Linked DNA regions of Stegostoma tigrinum. The protein of the gene in region 3 interacts with the protein of the main gene of each other region in a pairwise test. Links are inferred from orthologs where the notes say so. Each region holds a gene or a part of one and is shown on either strand. Other genes may lie near its edges. The genes, in order: thap7, mrpl15, ccndbp1 and protein PIMREG-like.

What was found.
Region 1: the proteins of ccndbp1 (region 3) and thap7 interact in binary tests that used the Homo sapiens proteins (3 or more experiments, as listed by UniProt). The two-hybrid records come from large-scale screens. The link is inferred for Stegostoma tigrinum from reciprocal best matches to the Homo sapiens genes CCNDBP1 and THAP7.
Region 2: the proteins of ccndbp1 (region 3) and mrpl15 interact in binary tests that used the Homo sapiens proteins (3 or more experiments, as listed by UniProt). The two-hybrid records come from large-scale screens. The link is inferred for Stegostoma tigrinum from reciprocal best matches to the Homo sapiens genes CCNDBP1 and MRPL15.
Region 4: the proteins of ccndbp1 (region 3) and protein PIMREG-like interact in binary tests that used the Homo sapiens proteins (3 or more experiments, as listed by UniProt). The two-hybrid records come from large-scale screens. The link is inferred for Stegostoma tigrinum from reciprocal best matches to the Homo sapiens genes CCNDBP1 and PIMREG.

The regions. Positions count from the first base shown.
Region 1 is NC_081391.1:26,351,786-26,359,601, reverse strand, and holds the start of thap7 (THAP domain-containing protein 7), read left to right. Parts: upstream 1-4,608; 5' UTR 4,609-4,693; coding exon 4,694-4,745; intron 4,746-5,042; coding exon 5,043-5,133; intron 5,134-5,251; coding exon 5,252-5,407; intron 5,408-6,998; coding exon 6,999-7,118; intron 7,119-7,664; coding exon 7,665-7,816. Other genes in the region: zinc finger and BTB domain-containing protein 20-like, read right to left, coding at 466-2,038. UniProt on the Homo sapiens protein: Chromatin-associated, histone tail-binding protein that represses transcription via recruitment of HDAC3 and nuclear hormone receptor corepressors.
Region 2 is NC_081358.1:67,110,018-67,117,409, reverse strand, and holds the start of mrpl15 (large ribosomal subunit protein uL15m), read left to right. Parts: upstream 1-4,293; 5' UTR 4,294-4,695; coding exon 4,696-4,797; intron 4,798-7,392. Other genes in the region: lypla1 (acyl-protein thioesterase 1), read right to left, coding at 4,034-4,102.
Region 3 is NC_081372.1:47,265,572-47,273,752, reverse strand, and holds the start of ccndbp1 (cyclin-D1-binding protein 1 homolog), read right to left. Parts: upstream 3,512-8,181; 5' UTR 3,486-3,511; coding exon 3,368-3,485; intron 1-3,367. UniProt on the Homo sapiens protein: May negatively regulate cell cycle progression. May act at least in part via inhibition of the cyclin-D1/CDK4 complex, thereby preventing phosphorylation of RB1 and blocking E2F-dependent transcription.
Region 4 is NC_081380.1:25,349,656-25,357,261, reverse strand, and holds the start of protein PIMREG-like, read left to right. Parts: upstream 1-4,566; 5' UTR 4,567-4,626; coding exon 4,627-4,884; intron 4,885-7,606. UniProt on the Homo sapiens protein: During mitosis, may play a role in the control of metaphase-to-anaphase transition.

The DNA.
Region 1 (7,816 bases), on a different chromosome or scaffold from region 3:
CATTGGCTGATCCAACGAGGATAGCTGCACCACAGCAAAATTTGCAGTAACATATAGGTGCTCCTAGTACATATCACACAGAATTTAAAATAAGTCTTGATGGCGCTCAGAGGGCTCGGGTGCTTTGCTTTCCTGTCAGTGAGGGGATCTGATTCTGAATGTGATGATTGCTTTTCATCTATTGGTATTACATAAAGCCACGGCCATATAAAGCAACAGGTTTAATGATCACGATCAGCCTCATTTTATTCTCACTGAGTTCATTATGGCAAATGACAGCAGTGAAAGTCAAAACCTTTAGGAACTATGCCCCAGTGATAGTCAGCACCTTCAGGGAAGAAATGGAGAAAACTTAAATTAAATCTCTATTTATTCTCCACCAGTCATCCTAGGAATAGCATCTGGGTTAAAGAATGGGATTGAAAGAATGGTTTTAACTAAAATGAACAATGATGATGAACCCACCTGTGTGGACAAACATGTGCTTGGCGTAATTCTGTCTGGAACTGAATGTCTTCCCACACTGTGCACATCCATAGGGCTTCTTTTCGGTTTCACTGGAACTGTGACTGGCCTGAGAGGTAGCTGGGACTGTCTGGCCTCCATCTAGAAACGCAGCCGGGTTTTGGCAAGATGGCTGAGCTGAAATGCTGGGTATACATGTCTGTGAGGTGGACGGCAGAGCTGGAAGGTGAGGTGACTGAGGAACGTTCATCTGGAAGAGGTTTCGGTGACTGGCAGCACTGGCTGCATTATTATCTCCCTGAACATCATACTGCACAGAGCAGCCTTGGTTTCGTGGACTGTTGTGCACAGCTGATGCTGGGAGAAAGTCTTGCATGAATGTTGAAGGCCGTTGGTAGGATGCATCAAGTTGAGACTTGCAGTCTGCTTTTCGGTTTTGTGGTAAGGATGGTTCCTTCTCCTCTTTCTCTCCATGCCAAAAGGACTTCAGTTCCTCAGGTAAGAGATCACTAGCATTGAAAAATTCCAGCTCATCCCCTTTGCCGGTCAAGCTCAAATGACTCGCAGAATCTCTTCGATCCCCCATTGTGCTTTGATTGGGATCAAAGGCATTTGTCTCAGAGATATCCTCAGTTTGCTCACTTTGGTTGATATGCTCAGCAGTTTGATCGGAGACACTTGCACTGGAGATGCTCTCCCCACAGTAAAGGAGATCATCATCTTCTTCCTTGATGGTCACTTGACTTCCATCTGCCATCTGGAGGCGGATTGGCTGGCGCTGCTTGCGACTGTGGCTGCCTTGTGCTAACAATGGCATTTCTGGACGCTGATTGGCTGCAGTGTTGTACCATAGAGCACGTACCTCACTGTTACGGCCAGTGTCCATCAGAGACAGATTCTCCTGGTCAGCAATGGCCTGTTCTCCAACTCCCTTTTGTCGTGTAGATGGAACTTGTCTGCTCAGATTAGGGCTAATTTCTTCAGCTTTGTACCCTGTGTCACTTGTTGCCACGTTCTTTGTACCTCCGCGTACAAAATCAAAGTCTTTCTCTGTTCCATGAGGTGACAATGCCGTTTCAATTAAACCCATAGAAAATTTGTGGATCTGGTCACTGACTGACTGGCAAATAATGGCTTCTTTCTCATCAGAAAGGTCCATCTTTTGGCTGACTAATGGTTGGAGTCCCTGAGTCTTTTGTGAGGCATTTTGCGAAATAATGCGTGTACATTCATCAATGATGGTTTTAATCTGAAGGACACTTGCTGCTGTGAGGATTTGTAGAGCCTCCACGTGAGAGACCATCAGAGAGCCGCTGTACATGAAATCCACCAGCCGCCGTAGAGTCTGGGCTGAGACAAGGGGAGGAACCTCGATCTCGCTGTAACCCAGCAAAAGTTTATCGTGGAAAAAAGGGCTAGCTGCAGCCAGAACGCAGCGGTGTGCTCGAAGAGCTGTGTTGTGGATCCTCACTGTTACATCACAGAAATGGCCACCCAGGCGCTGGGAATTCAGTGTCTCCAGCAGTGACTTGCTAAAGTTTTGGAGGTTGATGCTGTGAAGCTGCTCCGACATCCTGCTCAGTTGCTCTGCACTGCCTGCAAACCAATGGAAAAAGTGAGGATGGGGGAAATGAAGACAGAGAGAGTGTGAGAACAACACGGGGGTTGGAGAAAGGGAAGCGGCTGGTGGTGTCATTCTGGCATATGTAGGTGGGGCTGTCTCCTCCCCTCACAACAGGATTTTGTGCAGGGGAGGGTAATGGTGGTCGTTCCCGTCCCCCTCACACAGCAGTGGGACGGGGGGGGATTGATATTCCCCTCCCCCACACACAGCAGTGGGGCGGGGGGGGGGATTGATATTCCCCTCCCCCACACACAGCAGTGGGGCGGGGATTGATATTCCCCTCCCCCACACACAGCAGTGGGACGGGGGGGATTGATATTCCCCTCCCCCACACACAGCAGTGGGACGGGGGGATTGATATTCCCCTGCCCCACACACAGCAGTGGGACGGGGGGATTGATATTCCCCTCCCCCACACACAGCAGTGGGACGGGGGGATTGATATTCCCCTGCCCCACACACAGCAGTGGGACGGGGGGATTGATATTCCCCTGCCCCACACACAGCAGTGGGACGGGGGGATTGATATTCCCCTCCCCCACACACAGCAGTGGGACGGGGGTATATTCCCCTCCCCCACATACAGCAGTGGGACGGGGGGATATTCCCCTCCCCCACACACAGCAGTGGGACGGGGGGGGGATATTCCCCTCCCCCACACACAGCAGTGGGACGGGGGGGGGGGAGATATTCCCCTCCCCCACATACAGCAGTGGGACGGGGGGATATTCCCCTCCCCCACACACAGCAGTGGGACGGGGGATATTCCCCTCCCCCACATACAGCAGTGGGACGGGGGGATATTCCCCTCCCCCACACACAGCAGTGGGACGGGGGGGGGGATATTCCCCTCCCCCACACACAGCAGTGGGACGGGGGGGGGGATATTCCCCTCCCCCACACACAGCAGTGGGACGGGGGGGGATATTCCCCTCCCCCACACACAGCAGTGGGACGGGGGGGGATATTCCCCTCCCCCACACACAGCAGTGGGACGGGGGGGGGATATTCCCCTCCCCCACACACAGCAGTGGGACGGGGGGGATATTCCCCTCCCCCACACACAGCAGTGGGACGGGGGGGGGATATTCCCCTCCCCCACACACAGCAGTGGGACGGGGGGGATATTCCCCTCCCCCACACACAGCAGTGGGACGGGGGGGGATATTCCCCTCCCCCACACACAGCAGTGGGACGGGGGGGGGATATTCCCCTCCCCCACACACAGCAGTGGGACGGGGGGGATATTCCCCTCCCCCACACACACACACACGTGGGACGGGGGGGTATTGTCGTGATGGAGTTTTTTGGGGGGTGGGGGGGCGTGAACGCTGTCACGTGCTTGCTACTATCGAATCAGCGAGCTGCCGAGGCGAGGCCATTGACCCCTGACCCGCTCCGCTTTCCTTGATGTACTGGAGTAGTCTGCGGGGGGAGGGGGTGGCGGAATTATCGTCAGGGCCTGGGCTGCCTTGGCACCCGCACTCTTTAGGTTGCATTCTGTTGGGCCGGTAGGGTCCCAGGGCCGCGCTCCCTCAGGCGACACTAACCTCCAGTCAGTCTCCAGCCGGGCCTTGCGTCATGGCGCAGCGCGGCGGCGACGTCAAGGCGCAAGGCGGATACCACCGACAACGCCTGTTCCGCATGCGCAACGACATCGCGATCTGGAAAAACGTAGCTGTCTTGATTGAAGCCACCTGAATTTCCTCAGAGTCTTCCCGAATATTTCTGGACCTGAGCTTTCCATTGTCGTGAAGGCAAGAACGCTACCTGCTCCCAATTCCGCCCTGCGTCTGAGTGCCGTGACGTAGGTTTGAGGCTCTTAGGTCGGCCATTTTGGTGAGGTCAACGAGGACAGAGTGAGGGAAGAGGGTTGTTGGGGGAGGGGTGGGAGTAGAGATAATTGGGATATAGGCTTGGGGGTGGTTCCGAGGAGTCGGGTGATGAGGGAACGACAGGAGATTATAGTCATGGGGCAGGGCAGGGTACGGATGGAGGGATAGGGGATGATGGGAGGGGTGTAGGTGGAAAATGGATGGTGTGGGAATGGGGGCCATTATACGAATGATATGGGGTGGAAATGGGAGGGGATTATGGTCAAGAGAGTGATGGGTATGTGGAGGGTGACTTGGATACGATGGATGGGAAGGATTGGGATGGGGAGAAAGGTGATGTGTGGGGATTAGTGGGTGGTGGTGAGTGGGATATAGAAGTGGGAGTAGGGAAGGAAGTAATAGGGATGACTGGAGGAAGAGAAAGTCAGAGGGAGGGTAATTAAGGAGACCCTGGGTGGTGGGAAGGGAATTGCGGTGGGTGTCAGTGTTGGGTAATGAGGAGTGGCGTTAGGAAGAGGGGAATAGGGTATAGGGTGAATTTGGAGGGGGGGATGATGGGGCATTAGAGAAATTGGAAGGGTGAATTGTGAAATGGTGGGATTGAGAGGGGTTGGATTTGGGTAGGGGACTGTGGGGAAGGAAGGGATGAAGCTTGTGGGAACAGGCAAGATGGAATAGGTGAGGTGATGGAGTAAGGCAAAGGTGTGGGGTGGTTGGGAAGGGGAGAAGAGAGTTAAAAGACAGAAAGGAGGGGGTTGGGCTGGCAGAGATGGAGTGGATGATTGAAGAGAAAGGAAAGAAGGGGAATGATAGAGTAGAAGGTAATGAGGAGGGAGAGAGATATTTGTACCAGGGTGAGAAAGAAGAGACAGCTTGGGGTGGGGGGGGAATAAGAGATGGGAGGTGAAGGGTAATTGTAAAGGGAATGGGGTGGGGGGACGGGAGAGGAGAGACTGAGTAGCAGGATTCGTAGGGTTTGCCTGCGGGGAGAGATGGTGCATGCTTCCATTTGGGTGTGTGAATGAATAGATGGTGTGTTTGGGCGCAAGCAAAGAGCGGTTACTGGCTATGGGGTTCAATGTGGTCTGACTCTGGTGAACTCTTCTTATGTCATGCAGGGGTCAGAGCAATGCCCCGACACTGCTCGGCTGAGGGCTGCACATCACGGGACACTAAGGATTCGAGAATTAATGGAGTCACGTTTCACAGGTCAGTGAGACCTCTCCCTATCCTCAGGTTGATTCCCTCAGTGAGGTCTGTTTAATCCCCCACCCAGTCATATTTTACTGTGGTCACGTTCACTTCTCATGAGTTTCATTTTACTTAGGTTGCCCAAGAAGGGAAGACATCAGCGTGAGATCTGGTTGCTGAATTGTTGCCGCAAGAATCCAGATGGGACAGTTCCGTGGGATCCACCGTCGCAGTTCATCTATTTCTGTTCAAAACATTTTGAGAAACACTGTTTTGAGCTTGTGGGGCTGAGGTAATTTGTAGCATCTGTCAAATGTTGGTCCAATATGCCCTGCTTCAACAAATCACTACAGCCCATTAATAATTTGAGTGGCATGGTGGTTCAATGTTTAGCACTGCTACTGCACAGTGCTAGGGATCCTCCAGTTTCTCTCCACAGATCAAAGATGTGCAGGTTTGATGGATTGGCCATGATAAATTGCCCTGAAAGATGTGCAGGCTATAGGTAGGTTGGCCATGGGAAATGCATGGTTATAGGTATAGGGTTGGGGTATTGTGGAATGCCGTTCAGAGCTGTGGTGTAGACTTGATGGGCTGAATGGCCTGCTTCCACAGTGTAGGGATTCTCTGATTCTATTACACACTGCTCCACAGATTACTATGGATTACCAGATCCATGTCTATCAGATCACCAAGACCTGATAGACTCTGGTTTGCCCAATCCCTGGAACATCAGATCAATTGTATCACACCTGTGGGCTGAAGAGTGGTAGATGGAGTGTAATTTGGATAAATGTGAGGTATTGCATTTTGGTAAAATGAACAAAGGCAAGACTTATACGGTTAGAAGTCGGGCTTTGGGTAGGGCTCTAGAACAGAGAGACCGAGGCTTTGACGTTTATGTCACATATAGATAGGATGGTTAAGGTGTTTAAGCATGCTTGCCTTCATTGTTCACACCTTTGAGTATAGGAATTGGGACGTTATGCTGACTCCTTTTCTGGAGTTACGTAATGCAATTTTGGTCTCTCTGTTACATAAAGGAAATTATTAAGTTGGAGAGGGTTCAGAAGATAGTTACCAGGATCTTGCTGGGAATGGAGGGTTTGAGTTTTAAGGAGAGGCTGGATAGACTGGAAATTCTTTCACTGGAGAATAGGAGGTTGAGGGACGACCTTATAGACGTTTATAAAATAATGACAGGCATTGATAAAGTGGATGGTAGGATTTTTTACCCTAGGGTGGGGGAACTTCAAGATTAGCGAGCATATTTTTAAGTTGAGAGGAGACAGATTTAAAAAAAGAGTGGCAATTTTTCCACATAGAGTGGTTCATGTGTGAAATGCACTTCCAGAGAAAGTGGTACACCTTTTAAAAGACATTTAGACAAGTTCATGAATAAGAAGTGTTTGGAGAGATGTGGACCAAGTGCATACGGGTGGAACTAGTTAGTTTGGGATTATGTTTGGCTGGCTGGACAGAAGGGACTGTTTCTGTGCTGTATTACTCAGATCCTTGTCCACATGATCTTTACAGTCTCTTAGATTGCCAAGGTCCATCAGATCCCTTAGCTCATCAGATCTTGGCTCACCTAATCACCACTGTTTATCAGTTCCCAGATCACCTGATCACCAGTCCAACAGATCCCAGTCCGTTCTCCCAAAACATCAGAACATAGTTTGGTGGATCACCCTGGCCTTTCAAATCTGTTGCCTTGTACCATCAGACCCAGGTTCCTCTGATCACTGTGGTCCATCATCACGCAGGTCCAACACATTACAATTGAGGCCAGCTTTATTTCCGGTGGGGTGGGGGGGGGGGGGGGGGGGAGATGTGTGTGTGTGTGGCGGAAATTCACTGCTTTCCTTGTTTTCTTTCCCCAGTCGTTATCACCGCCTGCGAGATGACGCTGTCCCCACATTATTTCAGCCATGTCCTCAAGCAAAGGTGGCGCTGAGTGGGGGACACAATGCAAAATCATTGTCTGTACGCACCAATGAATGGTGAGAAACTTCTGGTGACTGCTTCAGCCGTGTGATTCACAGGATGTATACTGCTTGGAAACCATTTACGCTGTTCACTCGAAATCAATATCTTAACTAAAAATGCTTTTTGTATTTCTTCTATTACTCTGTTCATTGACTCGGTGCAAATGGCTAGTGCATGCTCGGGTGTTAGAGACCAGATAGTTGATGTAGAGACTGCGGTTTCCTGTCAGGGGTAGGTGAGTGCTGCCTGTCTCCAACCACTGGATTAGGGAAGGGACAAGTGAGCCAAGACTCTTAATCTTAAAGTAGTTACCTATTTATGAGATGTTAAATGAGGGCACAGTCAAGCTCATTGTGATGCCATCTCAGTCAAGTATTCAGTAACTACTGCTTGTATGCCAACAATCAGATAATGGTCATTTTGGTTAGGCAGTGAAGAATGAACAGCACTCCAGAGTTCTTGAGAAAAGGGGGAGGAAACTGACATTAAAATATCCACAATTGGTCACTCCCTGTCCTTTTATTAACCTTCAGCTATTTTCCTTCCTATCTATCTAACAGCTTCACTGATGGCAGCGCCTGTTTACCTGCTCCTGATCTCAGGAATGCTGACACTAGCTCAGGGATGGCCTTCAGCATTTCTCAAGATGGTTCTTCCTTTGTTCTGGGTTATTCTGATCCCCAAGAGAGAGTGAGTGAAAGTCTCTGCTTGT
Region 2 (7,392 bases), on a different chromosome or scaffold from region 3:
CCCCTAGACCTCCCCACAGCCTTGATTCAAAATGAACAGGAGTTGAATTGCAGAGATAACATTGAATGTCCTTGATAGCAAAGCAATTTTGTGGCAAACAAACCTAGTAGATATTGATGGGAATTGAAGGAAAGCCTCAACACTGGAATCATACCTGGTACAAAAGGAAGATAGTTGTGGTCATTCATAGTAGCCCCACCACAGCAATACACGAATTCTTGGGAATATTCTCCAGCCAATAATCAGTAACTTAATGAATCAACTATATACATACAGTTGCTAGAACAGCAAGTCTGAAACTGGTCCTATTCTGTAGGTAATGAATTATATCTTGCTTCCCCAAAGCCCTTCCACCATCACCAAGACATGAAGAAGTCGTCTAACAGAACACGCTTCAGGCGCCTGGACGAATACAGTTCCAACACTTGGAAAACAAAATCACTGATGACTTAATAGCTTGCTGGATTGACACCAAACACCCCATCTGAACTATTCATACTAATACACCATAGCAGCATTATGACCGATGACCTACCACTCACTAAGTTTCAATAGTATTACTTGCAATCCTCCTCGTCGGATTCTTGAAACTTTCAGTCCTTTTTTCAAACCACCTTTAACCGTTCACACTTCACTGTGCAATATTAGAATGCTCTTTTTTGGAATTGTTGTTTCGGGAGAAATTCTCCTTAAAAAAAAATCAATGATATTGGCATCGTCTTCACCTGGAAGTAATGTGGCAAATCTCTGTTTGAGATTCGTAGAGTCTTGTAATTTTTTGTGCAGTTTCTTCAATGCATTCATGTCCTTCCTACTATGTGGAACGAAAGCTCAACACAGCTAAGAACTGACAAGTATTTTATATGCTCACGCCCAGTGCGACAAAACAATTGTGCCTCTAAGTTTTTTAATCACCCTACGAGCTGCATGGTGTTGCTTACTATGATCTGCCTGTACTGTTCGTAAACAAAGTTTTTCACTTCACTTAGGAACACTGGAGTTAATTATTTCAAATTCAAATCTTTTTTCTTGTATACTCTACGCTGCTATTAAGGCTAGGATACTATTGTTTTATTCATGGCTCTCAACTGGTCCTGCCACCTTGAGGGGGGGGAGAGGGAGGGGGAAGGGGAAGTGAGGGGGGAGAGGGAGGGGGAAGGGGAAGTAGGGGTGGAGGGGAGCGAGGGGGGGCGGAGGGAGAGAAGGAACAGCGGCGATATCTGGACACTGGCAATAGGGACAACCTGGTTGGTCGATCAGATTCATCCTCTGCTTGGTAGCTGGAAGGGAAGGGAGGAAGCAGGGCTGGAACGGAAGCCAGGGTTGGGGAGGTTATTTTGAACTTAGAGAACTCAAACGTTGAGTCCTCTGGGCGGTAGGGTGCCCAGGTGGAAGATAAAAGGTGTTGCTCGCCAAATTTGTGTTCTGAATCATAAGAACTAGGAGCTGGAGTAGGCCATCCAGCTCCTCAAGCCTGCCCCGCCATTCACTAAGGTCATGGCTCATCTTTGAGACTCAGCTCCACTTACCTGCCCGCACACCATAACACTTAATTCCTTTGCTGTTCAAAAATTTATCTAGTCTTGCCTTAAAGACATACAGCGAGGTAACTTCAACTGCTTCACTGGGCAGGAAATTCCACAGATCCACAACCCTTTGGGTGAAGAAGTTCCTCCTGTCCTCAGTCCTAATCTGCTTCTCTTTATTTTGAGGCGATGTCCCAAGTCCTAGTTTCACCTGCTAGCAGAAACAACCTCCCTGCCTCCACTTTTATCGATTTCCTTCATAATCTTATGTTTCTATAAGATCTCCCCTTATTCTTCTGATTCCCATGAGTATAATCCCAGTCTACTCAGTCTCTCCTCATAATCCAGCCCTCAATTCTGGAATCAATCGAGTGAACCTCCTCTGCATCCCCTCCAGTGCTAGTATATCCCTTCTCAACTAAGGAGACTAAAACTGCACACAATATTCCAGGTGTGGTCTCACTAGGACACTATACAGCTGCTGCACAGACTCCCTGATTTTAAACTCCATCCCTCTGGCAATGGCACACAAAATTCCATTTGCCTTTTCAATTACCTGCTGCACCTGCAATCCTACTTTTAGCAATTTATGCACAAGCACACCCAAGTCCCTCTGTACAGCAGCGTGTTGCAATTTTTTATCATTTAAAACATAGTTCATTTTGCTGTTATTCCCAAAATGAATCACGGCAACACTGCAGGAGGCCAAGGGCAGACATGCTGGAGGCATTGCAGGGAGGTGCAATGGGCAGCGACTGGGAGATAAAGCTGCCTGTTACGGGCCAGATGAAGCTGCTCGTGAAATGGTCACCTAGTTTACATTTGGTCTCACCTATATAGAGAAGACCACTTCAGGTGCAGTGGATGAAGGTGAAGCTCTGCCTCACTTGGAAGGACTCGGCAGCATCTGGCCCTGAATGGGGGTGTGGAAGTTGGTGTGTGAGCAGGTATTGCAATTTTAACAGTTACAGGGAAAGGTCCTTGGTGGGAAGTATGACATGAACTGGAATAGTCCTTGTAGAAGGCAGAGAGGGCCGGGGAGTGGAAGATGTTCTGGGTGGCAGGGTCTAATTGGAGTTGGTGGAAATGTTTGAGGATGATACATCGGATGCAGAGCTGGTGGGGTGGAAAGTGAAGACAAAGAGGACCCTATCTCATCAGTTTCGGGGGGGGGGGGGGGGTGTTAAAAAGCTGAGTAGGCAATAGATAAGACACGCTGGAGAGCTGTCTCTCTTCTCTGCCGACACAGTCAATTTACAGTGGAAGAATTGGGAAACAGTACGAATGTACTTACTGGTGCAGTTCATCCCTTAATCCAATTTTTACCCAAATTACCCATCGCATCTGCTCTGAGGAGGAGGCATTCCATTCCCTCTCATCCCGGATGTCCTTTTTGTCCCCCAATGTCCTTTTCTTCTGTCATCCAGACATCTCTCCACCACGCTTCAAAACTCTAAACCACCCTCACCCTTCAAACATAACAAGACATATACCCTACCAGCTCTGCATCCAACATATCATCCTCAAACATTTCCAACTCCAAATAGACCCACCACCCAGAATATTTTCTACTCCCCACTCCTCTCCTGAAATGGTTCTCTATGTTGGTGAGACCAAACATAAACCAGATGACAGCTTCACGAGCATCTTCGACTGGCCTATAACAGCCAGCTAGCCTCCCAGTCAGTGGCCATTTCCTCCATATGCTGCCTGGCCTGCTGTGTTCTTCCAAACTCCTGCCTGTCCACCTCGTGGGTTTTTTTTGGTCTCTTTCCTACAGGGACAATTGAAAAGAATTGAAAAAGCTGCTAAGACTTTGGGATATCAAGAAAGGTGCTGAATTATTTCAAGCTTTTCTTACTTCTTGTTCCTAGTCTTTGTTATCCATATTTTCCTGACCTTAGAGATGTAAGCAAGGAGCCCTTAAAAACATATGCCCTCTCTCTTTTCCAAGGCTCAGCTGAATATCATCTAATCAGATTGCTTAATTTCTTTCAAGATTACAAAAAAAAGATGACATCCACACTTAATTTGTCTCCAACTTTCTGCTAGTCGTCGGTAGAACACCACTTCCAAAAATTGATGGCCGTTACAAAAGATTAATTTACGATCCCCGGGAACGCTTCAAATTCTTTAATATTAAATAGTCCTTTGCTGTCTAATACCGTTGAGAAAGCTCTTAACGTTTCCACCCCATTTTCATGCATTTTTCCCCCAATAGTCTTTTAAATTGCCCTGATAGTTGTTTCCTGCAACTGTACATTATGAATGCTTTTCCCCACAAAAATTGCATCGTTTAACTACGAACAGATCAGAATAGTAGAGCACAATTGATCATCGATAGCAACTACCAAGACCCATCAATAATATGTCCCTTCCCTTGCAATCAGTGGACACGCTTTCTCTACTGTACCGGGCCAACGCACAGTTCTTGTTGTTATGCTGCAAGTCACACACTGGAAAACTGCACCCGCCCTTTGCCCATCGCTTTTCCAGGTGAGACTCACCGCGGCTGTGGCTTTTTTTGCAGCAGGGACAATAGCAGGAATTGGCGCTGACATGTTGTTACCGCACATACACAATCAAAACGAAGGCGTCCAGCTAACCCACAGGTCACCACCACTACAAACAGCCCCAACCGCCGTTCTCCACACTCCTCCTCCCGCCCGCGCTTACACCACCAGATATCCCGCCGCCGCCGCCTCCTCCTCGGACGAATTTGACGTCCTTACAACGGAAACCCGTGTTACGCCATATGATTGGCTGAGCCCGATGTTAACAGAGGAAACAATGGGCGGCTGATTGACTGCGCAGTTGCAGTGGCGCGCTTGTCGACTGAATAATCTGTTTTCCTTTTCACTCCCCGATGTATCCCTGAAAGACATGTACAAGTATTAGCGTCAATCAGAATGATAATAAAACTGGATTTGGCTGTTGGTCAGGCTTCCGGTATTTTTTACTTCCGTGATTTGCATTTTTAAGCAATGAACTACACAGAAAGGAGTTTAAGAATCATACAAGTGTTTTTTTAAACAAAATTCAGCAACTAGAAATTAGAGAATAAATGGGTCATCTAGAGGTTTTAGGTACTCGCCGCTTCCGCACTTGTCGTAAAGACGCGTTGCTCTGAATTTTGCGACACAGCAGTCTGTCTTGGCGGTTGGGAAAAATGGCGACACGAGGATTTGGATCGACTGGGCTCGAGCTTCTCCGGCGGCTGCCGCGGGTCTCCCTCGCCAACCTGAGACCAAACCTGGGAGCGAAGAAGAGGGTAAGTGCTCTATAAGCATATATATCACCCTTTTCCAATCAGTTCTGCAGGAGGGGTACTGGAGCCGAAACATTAACTCTGCTTTCTCCCACAGATGTTGCCAGACCTGAGTTTTTCCAACAATTCCGGATTTTGTTTTTGATTTCCGCTGTTTTGTTTGTTTGGTGTCTAAGCGAGTTGGACAACCATGTGACGAGAACATCTGCAAAGTTATGGGGAATGGGTAGAAAACCATCTGAGCTGCCCTTACAGAATCATTCCGACACTCTGGGCCGAGCAGTCCCTCTACCACTGTCCGTGCTACAATTATTATTTTGTGAGCAGAATTACGCGGTTAAGTTGCACTCCCTCGCGGTCATCAATTTCTAAATGAGACTTTGAAAGGAAGCGACTCAGGGCTTGTGACAGTGGGAGCGGAAATTCACCCACTATCTCAATTTCGGCGTCCTTTTCCCTGCTGAAAAAGGACTATTTGTCTCTCCTGCTGTGAAGCAGCAGCCTCGTTAACTCTTGGGGGGTGGGGGGGGAAAGAGAGGGGAGGAGATATTAACTATTCACCCTATCCATGTTTGTCATGATTTTATAAACCTCTAGAAGATCGCCCTTCAGCCTCTGACAATCCAGGGGGAAAACTGGCCCCAACCTATTCAACCTCTCCTCTTATCTCAAATCTTCCAACCCTGGCAACATCCCTGTAATTCTTTTCTGAACTCTTTCAAGTTTAACAACATCTTTCTTACACTGGGAGACCAAAATGGACTGCAGTATTCTAAAATTGGACTCACCAATGTCCCCAACATAACATTCCAGCTCCTGTATTCAGTGCATTGACCAATGAAGGCAAGTATGCCAACTGCCTTCTTCACTACCCTGTCTACTTCGCATTCAAGGAGTTATGCACCTGAACCCTAGGTCTCTTTGTACGGCAACACTCCCCAGGGACTCAGCACTAACTGTCCAAGTCTTGCTCTGGTTTGCCTTAGCAAAATGCAACCCCTCACGTTTATCTAAATTAAACTACATTTCCTCATCAGATCAATGTCTGATTGTACTCTGAGATAACTTTCTTCTCTGTCCACTACACCAGCAATTTTGGTGTCATTTGCAAACTTACTAACCATACATCCATTATTAACATCCAAATCATTTATATAAATGATGAAAAATAGTAGACCCAGCACTGATCCCTGTGGCAGACTGCTGGTCACAGGCCTCTAGATAGAAGACAGCCTCTGCCTCCACCTTGAAACCAATGTTATATTCAGTTGGCTAGCTCCAATGGACTCCATGTGATCCAATCTTGCTAACAAGACTACTCTGTGGAACCTGTCGAACACTTTACTGAAATCCGTAAGGAAAACATCCGCTGCTTTGCTGTCATCAATTGAATGTGATGTATATAGACTTTCAGAAGACTTTTGATAGTTTCCCACATAAGAGATTAGTGTGTAAAGTTAAAGATGGATAGAATGCTGGTTAGCAGATGGGAAATGAGGCTTTTTACCGCACAGTGGGGATCAATGTATGGATCCCTGCTATTAATAATATTGATTTAGATGAGACAATTAAAAGTAATATTCCCAAATTTGCTGAAGACACAAAGCTGGATGATTTGGATGACAGAAATTTTTCCAAGTTTGCAGACAATACAAAATGAAATGGGAAAATCAAGTAGTGAGGATGACAAAATTAGTCTAAAGAGGGATATAGACAAGTTAAGTGATTGAGCAAAAAATTTACAGATGAAATATAATGTGGAAAAATGAGGCTATGCACTTTAGCAGGAAGAATACAAGAACTGAATACTTAAATGGAGAATGACAACAGAAAGCAGCAGCTTGAAAATATTAGTGCGTCATAAAAATCTAGCTTCCGAGATCAGCAAGTAAATAGGCAAATGGATTTTGTTAGCCTTCATTTCAAAGTAAATTAAGTCTAAAAATATGGATGCCTTTTTGAAGCTATTAAAGGAAGCTAGGCTGAGCACAGCCAGAATAATGTGAACAGTTTTTGTTCCCTTATCGGGGGAAAGATTAGAGGCAGCTTAACGAAGGTTCACTATGTAAATCCTGGGTACCTGGGATTTTTCTTATGAAGACAGGTTCAGTAGGTTGGGCTTGCACTAGTTGGATTTGTTCATAAAGAGAGGAGACTTTATTGAAACATATAAGGTTATTAAGGGGATAGACGTAATAGATGTGGAGAAGTTGTTTCCTCATGCAGGAAAATCTAGAACCAGAGGATGTAATTTCAGAATTAAAGGTCCACCACCTTTGAAGATAGATGAGGAGGAGTTTTTCTGAGGGTAGTGAATGTATGGAATTCTTTACCACTGAGCGCTGTCAAGGCTGAGAAGTATATTCAGGCCATGGTAGATTTTTAATCAGTAAAGGAATCGAGTGTTCTACGGAAAGCATAGAAAAATGGAGTTGAGGATGATCAGATCTGCTAAAATTTCATTAAATCATAGAGCAGATTCAGTGGTCTGATTATTCTACTTCTGCTTCTCCACGTTGTGATCGCAAATAAACAAGGAGATATTCAGGGAAGAGAAAACAAACCTGATAACCTTAGTAGTTTTGATAGCATCTGTGC
Region 3 (8,181 bases):
GTCCAAGTTCTTTAAGGACCGCAACTTTCCCCCCTCAGTGATCGAGAATGCCCTTGACCGCGTCTCCCGTATTTCCCGCAACACATCCCTCACACCCCGCCCCCGCCACAACCGCCCAAAGAGGATCCCCCTCGTTCTCACACAGCACCCTACCAACCTCCGGATACAATGCATCATCCTCCGACAATTCCACCATTTACAATCCGACTCCACCACCCAAGACATTTTTCCATCCCCACCCCTGTCTGCTTTCCGGAGAGATCACTCTCTCCGTGACTCCCCTGTTCGCTCCACACTGCCCTCCAACCCCACCACACCCGGCACCTTCCCCTGCAACCGCAGGAAATGCTACACTTGTCCCCACACCTCCTCCCTCACCCCTATCCCAGGCCCCAAGATGACATTCCACATTAAGCAGAGGTTCACCTGCACATCTGCCAATGTGGTATACTGCATCCACTGTACCCGGTGAGGCTTCCTCTACATTGGGGAAACCAAGCGGAGGCTTGGGGACCGCTTTGCAGAACACCTCCGCTCAGTTCGCAACAAACAACTGCACCTCCCAGTCGCAAACCATTTCCACTCCCCCTCCCATTCTCTAGATGACATGTCCATCATGGGCCTCCTGCAGTGCCACAATGATGCCACCCGAAGGTTGCAGGAACAGCAACTCATTCTGCCTGGGAACCCTGCAGCCATATGGTATCAATGTGGACTTCACCAGTTTCAAAATCTCCCCTTCCCCTACTGCATCCCTAAACCAGCCCAGTTCATCCCCTCCCCCCACTGCACCACACAACCAGCCCAGCTCTTCCCCCCACCCACTGCATCCCAAAACCAGTCCAACCTGTCTCTGCCTCCCTAACCGGTTCTTCCTCTCACCCATCCCTTCCTCCCACCCCAAGCCGCACCCCCAGCTACCTACTTACCTCATCCCACCTCCTTGACCTGTCCGTCTTCCCTGGACTGACCTATCCCCTCCCTACCTCCCCACCTATACTCTCTCCACCTATCTTCTTTACTCTCCATCTTCGGTCCACCTCCCCCTCTCTCCCTATTTATTCCAGTTCCCTCTCCCCATCCCCCTCTCTGATGAAGGGTCTAGGCCCGAAACGTCAGCTTTTGTGCTCCTGAGATGCTGCTTGGCCTGCTGTGTTCATCCAGCCTCACATTTTACTATCTTGGAGTTCTCCAGCATCTGCAGTTCCCATTATCTCTGATACCATTAGGTATAACAATCATCTTGCTAGGTCTACCACTGACAAATTTCAGCATTACAAGAGAACCATTCTTCCAAGTGTTACTCCTCAGAAAAATGATTACAATGGTTTGTTAGTGGCTGTGTTGAGTCCACTGATAACCCAAAAATCTTTGAAAAGTCATCAGTTATTGGTGAGTTATTCTTCTTTAGGGTAGAATTGTGATAACTAATGCTTTCAACAAACAGAACTTCAGTCTATCAGTTTTATGACTGTTGATTAGTTATTTCATACATTCATGTCTAATCCACAAGTTTCCTCCCAAGTCACTTATTATTGCCGCTCCTTGAACGTCACTGGATCAAAATCTTAGAAAGCCCTCCTTAATTCCTTTCCACAGAGACCTTGCACATATTCAAGGCCAAGATAGAGAAATTCTTGATCAGTAGACAAATCAAGGGTCAAGGGAAAGGGCAGGAAAGTGAATATGAGGAGTGGCTGAATCTTCTGGATAACAGAACAGGCTTGAGGAACTAAACAGTCCACTCCCATTCCTTTTTCTTATGGTGCAATGGCATTGTGAAGGTACTTACACAAATTTATCACCGCAATTCAAGGTGGCAGAACACCACCATTTTCTCAAGGACAGCTAGATACAGGCAAAAAATGCTGGCCCAGCAAGCAATGACCACATCCTATTCGTGATTTTGCTTTTAAAATAGCACCCTGTAAATTATCAGGCACTTGTAATTTTCTTTCTCCTTCTAAACTGACAGTGAGGCTGACCAAGATGCTAAAGAAGCTTTCTGAGGCAGAGTGGGACATGGCTAGAAGTCTTCAAAGATAAAAACAAAGACTTGAAATTGATACCGAAGGCTGCGACAAGACAGAAAAAAAATTTCAATGATGGGAAAGGGGTTGTGAAACAGAACCAAACAGAATACAAGATTCCAAATTATGAGTTGAGAGCAGAAGGGCATTCAGGAAAGTTGGTCGAGTTAGGAGCAGAGGCATGAAAGACTGAGAAGATGCAAAATAGTGACTTTATTTTTATTTTCACTGACCCACAAGATTTGACTGTGCAAGGTTTAACTACATTCATGGCTGTACACACATTTAAAGGTCCCTTAAACTTCACTATTGGGGGCGGGGAGGAGTGAAGAGAACATCCACAACTACATTAAATTATGCAGTTTGACAGGAGGGACACGCAGGCAAATGGAATTGACTATACAGATCTCTTGGAGGGCTTGTTTGGAAGGTCAAGTAAAATAGTGGGTGTTCAATTTAGTCATACATAACAGAAAAGCAATTCAAACTTGCAAAGCTGTAACATACCAGAGGCCAATGCTAAATGACGAGCACAGGGAGGAAGGCAAGTAAAATTAACAGAAATGCTGAAGAACACAGTGGGTTAGCAACAATGGTGAGTAAAGAAATAGTTAACATTTCAGACTTTTCATCAGGACGGTTCCAGGCTTGAAATATTAATTCCGAATCTCTCGCCACGGCTGATGTCTGACCCATTGAGCATTTTCTGCATTTTTTAAAAAACTTCAGAATTTTTGTTTCTGTATTTGGACTTAAATGAGAATACAGCTAACTGAGTTTTATATTAACTCAAAAGGCGGGGAAGGGGACAGAGAAAGGAGATAGGACGCTAGTCAGAAGTCTGCTGAAACAATATGGAGGAAGTAAATAGATGAACTTGTCCATTTGAGGCTCGATTAGGAATATAAACAACTTAGAGCCCCTCTATTGGATCCCAGCCTGTAAGATTGGATCAGGTAGACTAGGCCCGAAACGTCAGCTTTTGTGCTCCTGAGATGCTGCTTAGTGCCTATTGTGTTCATCCAGCCCCACACTTTGTTATCTCGGATCCTCCAGCATCTGCAGTTCCCATTATCACTAATTACACGCAAACACTAGACTGCTGCCGCTATTTCCACTGGCTCTGAGCTCCTAGGGCCGGCTGTTACCCCATTATCGCTCCTTTCACTGTCACTCGGGTGTTGCGGTAGATGCCAGTACATGTCCGTACACCCACAGACAAAGTGGGGTCCTTCAGGTAGAGGCCCTGTCTGGTGTCAGCAGTCCTCTCCCCCAACCCCGGGATCTCTGCTGTTGGAAGATCCTGAGGCCTGCTCCCTGGAATCAGCCGAACTCACCTCGCAGCTGCGACACCACCTCCCTCAGGCCGTTCGCAAGGTTCCGCAGCGGCAACCGCAGATCATCGTTCGCCTCCGAGTCCATGGTCTCACACGCAGCCGAAAGCAGCTCCTCCATCTTGACGCAAGCTCGGGGGCGGGGCCCGCTGTAGCAGGCAGGACTGGTGGGCGGAGGCTGGGTCGTTACGGATGAATGGGCGGGACCAGAGGTAGGGCGGGGCCTGACTGGATGCACAGGTAATGGGAACTGCAGATGCTGGAGAATCCAAGATAACAAAGTGTGGAGCTGGATGAACACAGCAGGCCAAGCAGCATCTTAGGAGCACAAAAGCGTCTCTGATGAAGGGTCTAGGCCCGAAACGTCAGCTTTTGTGCTCCTGAGATGCTGCTTGGCCTGCTGTGTTCATCCAGCTCCACACTTTGTTATCTCAGATGCATGGAGATTGACGGGGCCAGTAGACGAGGCCGGGTTCACGGTAAATGCGGTGGTGAAGGGAGTAGTCAAGCCCTTCGTTGAAAAGCAGATGGTGAAAATTTGAAATTTTTAATTCAGGCAGCACGTTAGTAAAGAACAGCAACTCATATTCTGCTTGGGAACCCTGCAGCCCAATGGTATCAATGTGGATTTCACAAGCTTCAAAATCTCCCCTCCCCCCACCGCATCCCAAAACCAACCCAGCTCATCCCCTCCCCCCACTGCATCCCATAACCAGCCCAGCTCGTCCCTGCCTCCCTGACCTGTTCTTCCTCTCACCTATCCCCTCCTCCCACCTCAAGCCACTCCTGCATTTCCTACCTACCAACCTCATCCCGCCTCCTTAACCTATCCCTCCTCCCTGGACTGACCTATCCCCTCCCTACCTCCCCACCCATACTCTCCTCTCCACCTATCTTCTCCTCTATCCATCTTCGGTCTGCTTCCCCCTCTCTCCCTATTTATTTCTAGTAGAGCCAACAGTCAATGGGAAACTTCGAACCAGCGTCTACGGGAAAACAACACATACAGACCAAATACTGAACTACAGGAGTAACCATCCCGACACCCACAAACGAAGCTGCATTAGAACATTATTCCAACGAGCCACCACACACTGCAGCACAGAGGAACTACGAAGAGCAGAAGAAAATCACCTATACAGCATATTCAAAAAGAATGGGTACCCAATGAACACAGTCTGCCGATTTCTCAGCAACAAACCCGAACAAACAGACAAAATGGGCCCAGAAACCATAACCGCTCTCCCCTACATCAAAGACATTTCCGAAATGACTGCCAGACTACTCGGACCTCTTGGCATCAGGGTAGCCCACCAACCCACCAACACACTAAAACAGCAGCTAATGAACTTAAAAGACCCTATACAGACAACAAGCAAAACAAACATCATTTACAAAATACTTTTCAAGAACTGTGACAAACACTACATTGTGACAAACAGGCAGAAAGCTAGCCACCAGGATACATGAACATCAGCTAGCCACAAAACGATATGACTCACTATCACTTGTATCCTTACATACAGATGAGGAAGGACACCATTTTGATTGGGACAACACATCCATCCTAGGACAAGCCAAACAGAGACACGCACGAGAATTCCTAGGAGCATGGCATTCCAACCGGAACTCCATCCACAAACACATTGGCTCCAAATCAATCTACCATCCTCTGAGAAAAAGAACAGGAAACGACATCACCAACCCAAGGAAACCTAAACAGATAAATAGAAAGTGGGACATAACACCAGCGCTTTGTCGGAGGCTCACTGATGATGTTACCTAGAATGGTGACGAAACGTCTGAAAACTAACCTTCCAGCTCAGCAAGCAAACTCACATCCAGAATTAAACATAATACTCTAAATGTGGCCGAACTAAATTCTTAATAAGTTGCAGCATGACATCCTGACTCTTGTACTCAGTTCTCCAACCAATAAAGGCAAGCATGCCACACGTGTTCTTTACCCCCTATCTACTTGTATGGCTACTTTCAGGGAGCTATGGATTTGAACCCCAATCTCCTTCTATACATCAATGGCATTCAGAGTTCTGCCATTAATTGTACACGTTTCGTTAACATTTGATCTCCCAAATCATAGCACTTCATATTTACCCAGATTAAACTCCATCTGCCATTTATCTGCCCATGATTGCAATTGAGCGATATCCTGCTATATCCTTTGACAACCTTCTACACTATCCACAACTCCACCAATCTTTGTATCATCTGCAAACATAATAACCCACCCAACTATATTATCATGTAAGTCATTTATATGTATTAAAAAGTGTAGAGTTGCCAACACGGACCCCTGCAAAACACCATTAGTCATGGACCTCCAGACTAGAAACCAGCCTTCCACCACTACCCTCTGTCTTCTATGGCAAGCCAAGCCTGAACCCACATTGTCAAGTCACTGTGGATTCCATGCGTCTTAATCTTCTGGATGTGCCTACTATGAGGGACCTGGTCAAAAGCCTTACTAAAATCCATGTAAACAACATCCACTGCTCTACCCTCACCGATCACCTCCGTCACCTTCTCAAAAAATTCAATCAAGGTAGTAAGAAATGATCTGCCTTGCATAAAGCCATGTTGAACATAGAACGTAGAACAGTACAGGCCCTTCGGACAAAGATGTTGTGCCGAACTTTTACCCTAAGCCTTATGTCTATCTAACCTCCACCCCTACTTTACACTATCATCCAAATGCCACGTAAATGCCCCTAATGAGGCCGACTCCACTACCCTCTCTGGCAATGTATTCCATTCCCCTACCACTGTCTGACTAAAGAACCTACCTCTGACGTCTCCCCTATTTCTACCTCCACTCACTTTAAAATTACGCCCCCTCGTATGAGCTACCTCCCCCCTAGGAAAAAGTCTCTGGCTATCCACTCTCTCAATACCTCTGATCATTTCGTACACCTCTATCAATTCACCTCTCATCCTTCGTCATTATAAAGAGAAAAGTCCTAGGTTTCTCAACTTTTCCTCAAAAGACCCTCCCTCCATTCTCGGCAACACCCTGGTAAATCTCCTCTGCACCTTTTCCAACATTTCTGCATCCTTCCTGTCATGAGACGACCAGAACCGGACACAATACTCCAAATGTGGCCAAACCAGGGTTTTGTATAACTGGAGCATAACTTCAAAGCTCTTGAACCCAAACTCCCTATTAATGAAAGCTAACACACTATACGCTTTGCGAACAACTCTATCCACCTGGGTGGCAGCTTTTAGGGAACTGTGGACATGAACCCCAAGATCCCTCTGCTCCTCCACGCTGCCAAAAATCTTTCCATTAACCCTGTATTCTGCTTTCAAATTTGTCCTTCCAAAATGTATCACCTCACACTTTTCAGGGTTAAACTCCATCTGCCACTTCTTAGCCCACCTCTGCATCCTATCAATGTCCCTTTGTAACCTAGAATAGCCATCCACACTATTGTCAAAGCGACTCACCTTTGTATTGTCTGCGAACTTACTAATCCACTCTTCCACTCCTACATCCAAATCATTTACAAAATTCACAAATAGAAGAGGACCCAGAACAGATCCTTGTGGTACACCACTCTTAACTGAGCACCATGCTGAATATGTTCCATCCACTAACACCCTTTGTATTCTAAGGGTCAGCCAATTCTGAATCCAATCTGCCACACTTTCCCTATCCCATGCCTCCTTACCTTCTGCATGAGCCTACCATGGGGAACCTTATCAAATGCCTTACTTAAATCCATGTATACCACATCCACTGCTCTACCTTCATCCACGTGTTTGGTCACCTCTTCAAAGGATTCAATAAGGTTTGTGAGGCATGATCTACCCCTCACAAATCAATGCTGACTATCACGAATCAAACTATGCCTATCCAAGTGATCATAAATCCTCTCTGTCAGAGCCTTTTCCAATAATTTGCCCACCACTGACATAACACTAACTAGCCTGTAATTTCCAGGGTTATCCCTATTCTGTTTTTTGAACAAGGAAATGACGTTTGCCACTCTCCAATCTTCCGGCACTATACCCGTGGACAGTGAGGATGCAAAGATCATCGCCAAAGGCCCTGTGATCTCTTCCCTCACTTCTCATTGAATCCCATCAGGCCCAGGAACTTATCTATCTTCAATTTCCTCAAAATTCCTTGTGCATCTTCCTTACAAACATGCACCTCCTTTAGCCTTCTAGCCTGAATTGTAATTACCCTTCCCTCAATTATAAACCTTACCCTGCTGTGTGTACCTTCCTTTTCCATGACTGTTGTAAAAGAAACAGAGTGATGATCACTACTGCCAAAATGCCCTCCTAACAACAGGTCTAACACTTGGTCCGGTTCATTGCCAAGCACAAATCCAAAGTGGCCTCTCCTCATGTTGGTCTATCTACATACTGTGTCAGGAATCCTTCTTGAATCCACTGGACCAAATCCATTCCATCTTAACTATTACAACTAAGAAGTTTCCAATCAATTTTTAGAAAGTTGTGGTCACCCATGACTACAACCCTGTTACTTCTGCACCTTTCCAGTTTCTGCCTCCCAATGTGCTCCTCCTCTTCTCTGCAACTATTAGGAAATCTGTTTAAAAACCCCAACAAAGTGACTGCTCCTTTCTTGTTCCTGACCTCAACCTAAACTGATTCTGTAGATATATCATTCTCAAACTGCCTTTCAGTAGCTGCTATACTAGCCCTGATTGGCAATGGCACTCCCCCAACTCAGTTACCACCCTCCCTATTTCTTTCAAAGCATCTAAATCCCACAACTTTAAACAACCATTCCTGTTCCTGAGTTAACCAGGTTTCTGACTGTC
Region 4 (7,606 bases), on a different chromosome or scaffold from region 3:
AAGTTTTTTTTACTGTTTCAAAGGGCACTGTTCTCTCTTTACACTTGCTCCATCTGCTGTCCACTTTCTGCAAAACTCCTTTCCCAGTTATCAATCTTTTTTCACAGCTGCTGTAATTGATACGTGTCTTTTATAAAATGAGTATATCTCATGGCCTGCTAATTTTCTTAACTACCCCCATCCTCCAACCCCTTCTCTGTTAACTTCTACATTGATTCCTCAAACTTTCTTCTCCACTTTTCCTGCTCTCAGTTTCTTTGTGAACTTGATTGGAGACAGCTGTAAACTTTTATCTACATGTTTGTAAGTTTTCTCCTCTATTTCAGCACCCTGAACTGAACCTTGCACAATTCCAAAGATTTGCGTTCTCACCTGAGTTTCCAAGTTGTTCTTGTCTTTTGGCCTTACACTCCTAATGTATGTCTGCATAGCAGTTGTTTTAGTTACAAAATCCAACTCCAGAATAATCAACTTAGTCTCGTGGAAGTCAGAAGATGTGCACAAAATAATAGGGAGTTTTTGATAGGAAACAAAAGAAAACATTTTTAAACTGGTCCATTTGTCAGTAACAGTAGAGAATAAAATACCAACAATATGGTGACATTGGGAAAATCTGTCATACTGTATGTATACGGGCTTATCAAATGTTTTGTGCAAATGGAAACAGTTTTAGAAGCATCATTTCTGATACAGTTGTTATTAAAAGAGATTTGCACAAATAATTGATCACAGAAACACAAACGGATTACAGCAGGGGGCCATTCAGCCCACTGTGTCTGAGCTGGCTCTTCAAATGAGCAATGCATCCAGTGCCACTGCTACACTTTCTTCTCATAGTCTTGCACTTTCTTCCTTTTTAGGTGATGACCCAATTCCTTCTCAAATGCTGCAATTGAACTTGCATCCACCATATTCTCTGGCAGGGCATTCCATATTCTAACAACTCGCAGTTTGACAACGTTTCTCCCCCTGTCACGTGTGCTTGATTTGTTCATTATTTCAAATCTGCTCTCTCTCATTCTTGACTCTTCCACCAGCAGAAACAGTTTACTCACTATCGATTTGATCCAGACGACTCATGATTTTGAATACCTATAACAAATCGCCTGTCAACATTCTCCAAGTAAAACAAGCTCAACATTTCCAATCTATCTACTAAAATGAAATTCTGCATTCATGAAACCAAGCGGAGGTGTTCTGCAAAGCGGTCCCCAAGCCTCTCTTTGGCTTCCCCAATGTAGAGGAAGCCACAACGGGTACAGCGGATGCAGTATACCACATTGGCAGGTGTGCTTGATGTGGAAAGTCATCTTGGGGCCTGCGATGTGGGTGAGGGAGGAGGTGTGGGGGCAAGTGTAGCACTTCCTGTGGTTGCAGGGGTAAGTGCCAGGTGTGGTTGGGTTGGAGGGGAGTGTGGAGTGAACAAGGGAGTCACAGAGAGAGTGGTCTTTCCGGAAAGCAGACAAGGGTGGGGATGGAAAAATGTCTTTGGTGGTGGGGTCGGATTGTAGATGGCGGAAGTGTCAGAGGATGATGCATTGTATCCGGAGGTTGGTGGTATGTGAGGACGAGGGGGATTCTATTTTGGTGGTTATTGCAGGGGCGGGTGGGCGGGATGAGTTGTGGAAATGCGGGAGACATGGTCAAGGGTGTTCTCAACCACTGTGGGGGGGATGTTTCAGTCCTTGAAAAACGAGGACATCTGAGATGTACAGGAGTGGAATGCCTCACCCTGGGAGCAGATGCGGTGGAGGTGAAGGAATTGGGAATAGGAGATGGAATTTTTGCAGGAAGTTGGGTGGGAGGAGGTGTATTCTAGGTAGCTGTGGGAGTCGGTGGGCTTGAAATGGATATCTGTTTCTAGGTGGTTGCCTGAGATGGAGACAGAGAGGTCCAGGAAGATGAGGGATGTGTTGGAGATGGCCCAGGTGAACTTGAGGTTGGGATGGAAGGTGTAGGTGAAGTGGATGAAATGTTCAAGCTCCTCTTGGGAGCATGAGGCAGCGCCAAAGCAGTCATCGATATAACAGAGGAAGACTTGGGGCTTAGGGCCAGTGTAGGTGCAGAAGAGGGACTGTTTCACGTAACCTACAAAGAGACAGGCATAGCTTGGGCCCGTGTGGGTACTCATGGCCACCCGCTTTGTCTGTAGGAAGTTGGAGGAATCGAAAGAGAAGTTGTTGAGGGTGAGGACAAGTTTGGCTAGGCGGATTAGAGTGTCGGTGGAGGGGATCTGGTCGGGCCTGCCGGACAGGAAGAAGTGGAGGGCCTTTAGGCCATCTGCAAGGGGAATGCAGGTGTATAGGGACTGGATGTCCATGGTAAAAATGAGGTGTTGGGGACTGGGGAATTGGAAGTTCTGGAGGAGCTGGAGGGCTTGGGTGGCTTCTGTTCATATTCACTTTGTGCACTCTCCCCAAACACAGATCATCCCATTGTTTCTGTGCTATCTCAGCAGCTCTGACAGTATCTGTGGAAAGAAATTTCATATCCAGTAACACTTCATCAGATCTGCTGAGTTTCTCCAGCAATTTCTGATTTTGTTTGTTTCAGATCTCCAGCATGTGCTTTGTATTATTCTCTCCCACTTCTGCTCACTTTAATTCAATGTGTATGCAGGGGAATGCTAAGCAACAGGTATCCATTTTAATGTCTAGGGTTTTACAGCAGAGTTGGCATAGTTTCATTGCAGAAATGACCATATCCTACGATGTAACATTCTCTGAGGCAATATTTGGTTTAGGGTTTTATATGGGCCAGGGAATGCAGAATTTCTGCATACTTCTACAGGGCCAGTGGGTTTTGGTGAATAGTGAATCCCAGGGTCTGGCCATAACAAAAAGAGGTGTTGCTGTGGTGTAGCAAGTTGTGGACACTGCCAACCTCCCAGGTCCTGTAAGCTTCTGATGTTCTGACAGCAGCACTGGTGTGAAGGTTTGGCGGAGTCAGTGGTGAGCTAGAGAGATGAAGTATCCATTTCCTTTCATGTCGGGAATTCTGGAGGTGTGTATATTCCTCACAGCAGCGGCACAATAGAAAGCTATATATTTGCAAGGCCAGATTTGCAGTTTAAGAGAATGACAGACGATCAGCTAATAGGCATCTCAGCTGCCCAGCAATAACCCTGTCTCCAATTCCTGAACTCTGCTGGAAAACACAACTAATTCAATCCCAACCTTCATATCGGCATTGTTAACTTTTCAGTGATACTCTCAGATATGGGTGGCACTTTTATCTCACAGAGCCAGGGAGGTTCAATTCCAGCCTCAGGTAACTGTCCATGTGGATTTTGCATTTACTCCCTGTTTCTGCAGAATGTGCCTGTTTCCGCCCTCAGTCCAAAGATGTGCAGGTTAGATTGACTGGTCATACTGAACTGCCCTGGAATGTGCAAGCTAAGTGTGGAAAGCAAGGGTATATGCAGGGCTACAGGAATAGGGTAGGGGCTTGGGTCTGGGCTGGATTCTTTTCAGAGAGTCGGTGCAGCAAAGATGGGCCGAATGGCTTCTTCCCGCATGGTACAGAATCGAGCTTTTTACCACAGCACACATCCTCGGGCCCTGTAAGATTTCATTTAATAGTTCCCATTTGTGTCGCCTTTCTATGACTCTAAGGTCGGTCGTGGTGGAGGGAAGATTTAACTGTACAAATGCCCTGCTTACCTGTTTTCAGTGAAGAATTAAGAGCGTGTAACGGAAAACAATGTGCAAATCCCCCCTTCCCCAACCCAAGGATAACAAACATCTTAGAGACACTCGGTTCGAAGCGTGGGACGACCAGTTAAACGATCGCTTGGAAAGGATTCTCCCTATTTCTTCCAAGTTATTAACAACCTGCGTTCAAATCGTATCAATATTCATGTTTAAAGCTCGGTGTTTTGCAATAACTTGCGAAGATAAATCTGGGTCTATAAAATATGGAGCTGGAGGTGCAGAGCAAGTCAGATAACGGGACCAGGAAAGCTGATGTTTCGGGTCTTTCTGAAGAAGGGTCTAGGCCCGAAACATCAGCTTTCCTGCTCCTCTGATGCTGCTTGACCTGCTGCGTTGATCCAGCTCTACACCTTGTTATCTCAGATTCTCCAGCATCGGCAGTTCCTACTAACTCTGGAGAAACTCAGCAGGTTTGGCAGCATCTGGGAAGTTAGAAAACAGAGTTAACGTTTCGAGTCCAGTGATCCCTCTTCAGAAATTGTCACTGGAACCGTTTTGCCTTTCTGTACGATTTGTTTCACTGGTTTTAAATGAGTGCAGCAGTGTTTTACTTTCTAATATTAAGAACTGTGGCAGCAGCCCATGTTTCGTGGTCTCACCAGAAGGCGCTGGGACGACGAGAATGAAAGGGTAATTTCCATCAGCTCCCGGGAAGAAATGGACACATTGCTGTTACTTGATCGGATCCTTTTTCCTGTTGGGAAACAAAGGCTTGGGAACAAAGTAGCCGGAGCCCGAGCAATCCCCTCCCAGTGACATAACCGACGGCCAATCAGCGCGGGCCTCAGTACGTCATCTTGTCAGTTTCACCAATCGGATCGCGGGAATTTCACTCCGCTACAAAGTTGCGCCAAATTCAAAAACAAGAAAGGGACAGACATTCAGGCGTTCGATCCCAACCACGGAGGTCGTAATGACAAGCTGGAGAAAGCACCATCAGATCCTGCAGGAAGAAGGCGATAGCCCGCCAGCCGATCTTTTCAGGGAGATGTCCTCGTCCAGCTCCCTCAACACTATCCGCATGTCCCTGAGGAAGAGGCTGCCTCTTGGGCAGGTGGACTTTAACATCGACCACACCCCGACTTGGGAGAGTCTGGAGCTCACCAAGAAACCTAATGCTTTACAAACTATAGGTCGGACTGCGAGGAACACATGGGGCAACGTCTCCCTGGTAACTTGTTTTTACTTACACTTGACACCATGGAGTGTAGCAGTGCCATTATTCCATTTAAAACGTCAAGGTTTCAAAAACTGACATTGCTTAAGAAAAATATGGACTCCAGTTTTATTTTAGTAGAAAAGTGTAAAAGTAATTTGGAAGCCAGCAGCATTGACTATTCAGACTATTCAGCTGGCAGACATTTCCCAGATAACGTACTGTGTGCCTGACCGCGGTGGACTGTAATATAACTTGTACGATAAATATACATGACTGGTTCCACTGACATGGGCTGATGTGGCAATTGGCTGCGTTCCTTACATTGCAGACAGTGTCACGTTAATTTTTGCTTACTTCTCCATAATGTCCTGATCAAAAGCTTATCTCCAAACCAACATCGCTTAAACAAATGATATGGTTTATACTTCAGAGATAATGGGAACTGCAGATGCTGGAGAGTTCCAAAATAACAAAATGTGAGGCTAGATGAACACAGCAGGCCAAGCAGCATCTCAGGAGCACAAAAGCTGACGTTTTGGGCCTAGACCCTTCATCAGAGAGGGGGATGGGGAGAGGGAACTGGAATAAATAGGGAGAGAGGGGGAGGCGGACCGAAGATGGAGAGTAAAGAAGATAGGTGGAGAGAGTATAGGTGGGGAGGTAGGGAGGGGATAGGTCAGTCCAGGGAAGACGGACAGGTCAAGGAGGTGGGATGAAGTTAGTAGGTAGCTGGGGGTGCGAGGAAGGGATGGGTGAGAGGAAGAACAGGTTAGGGAGGCAGAGACAGGTTGGACTGGTTTTGGGATGCAGTGGGTGGGGGGGAAGAGCTGGGCTGGTTGTGTGGTGCAGTGGGGGGAGGGGACGAACTGAGCTGGTTTAGGGATGCAGTAGGGGAAGGGGAGATTTTGAAACTGGTGAAGTCCACATTGATACCATATGGCTGCAGGGTTCCCAGGCGGAATATGAGTTGCTGTTCCTGCAACCTTCGGGTGGCATCCAATTCTTCCAATTCCCTGGCCCCCAACACCTCATATTCACCATGGACGTCCAGTCCCTGTACACCTGCATTCCGCATGGAGATGGCCTCAAGGCCCTTCGCTTCTTCCTGTCCCGCAGGCCCGACTAGTCCCCCTCCACCGACACTCTCATCCGCCTAGCTGAACTCGTCCTCAGACTCAACAACTTCTCTTTTGACTCCTCCCACTTCCTACAGACTAAGGGGGTGGCCATGGGCACCCGCATGGGCCCCAGCTATGCCTGCCTCTTTGTAGGTTACGTGGAACAGTCCCTCTTCCGCACCTACACAGGCCCTAAACCCCACCTCTTCCTCCGGCACATTGATGACTGTATCGGCACCGCCTCTTGCTCCCCAGAGGAGCTCGAACAGTTCATCCACTTCACCAACACCTTCCACCCCAACCTTCAGTTCACCTGGGCCATCTCCAGCACATCCCTCACCTTCCTAGAACTCTCAGTCTCCATCTCAGGCAACCAGCTTGTAACTGATGTCCATTTCAAGCCCACCGACTCCCACAGCTACCTAGAATACACCTCCTCCCACCCACCCTCCTGCAAAAATTCCATCCCCATTCCCAATTCCTCCACCTCCGCCGCATCTGCTCCCACGATAAGACATTCCACTCCCGCACATCCCAGATGTCCAAGTTCTTTAAGGACCGCAACTTGCCCCCCACAGTGATCGAGAACGCCCTTGACCGCATCTCCCGTATTTCCCGCAACACATCCCTCACACCCCGCCCCCGCCACAACCGCCCTAAGAGGATCCCCCTCGTTCTCACACACCACCCCACCAACCTCCGGATACAACGCATCATCCTCCGACACTTCCACCATCTACAATCTGACCCCACCACCCAAGACATTTTTCCATCCCCTCCCCTGTCTGCTTTCCGGAGAGACCACTCTCTCCGTGACTCCCTTGTTCGCTCCACACTGCCCTCCAACCCCACCACACCCGGCACCTTCCCCTGCAACCGCAGGAAATGCTACACTTGTCCCCACACCTCCTCCCTCACCCCTATCCCAGCCCCAAGATGACATTCCACATTAAGCAGAGGTTCACCTGCACATCTGCCAATGTGGTATACTGCATCCACTGTACCCGGTGCGGCTTCCTCTACATTGGGGAATCCAAGCGGAGGCTTGGGGACCGCTTTGCAGAACACCTCCGCTCAGTTCGCAACAAACAACTGCACCTCCCAGTCGCAAACCATTTCCACTCCCCCTCCCATTCTCTAGATGACATGTCCATCATGGGCCTCCTGCACTGCCACAATGATGTCACCCGAAGGTTGCAGGAACAGCAACTCATATTCCGCCTGGGAACCCTGCAGCCATATGGTATCAATGTGGACTTCACCAGTTTCAAAATCTCCCCTTCCCCTACTGCATCCCTAAACCAGCCCAGTTCGTCCCCTCCCCCCACTGCACCACACAACCAGCCCAGCTCTTCCCCCCCACCCACTGCATCCCAAAACCAGTCCAACCTGTCTCTGCCTCCCTAACCGGTTCTTCCTCTCACCCATCCCTTCCTCCCACCCCAAGCCGCACCCCCAGCTACCTACTAACCTCATCCCACCTCCTTGACCTGTCCGTCTTCCCTGGACTGACCTATCCCCTCCCTACCTCTCCACCTATCTTCTTTACTCTCCATCTTCGGTCCGCCTCCCCCTCTCTCCCTATTTATTTCAGAACCCTCACCCCATCCCCCTCT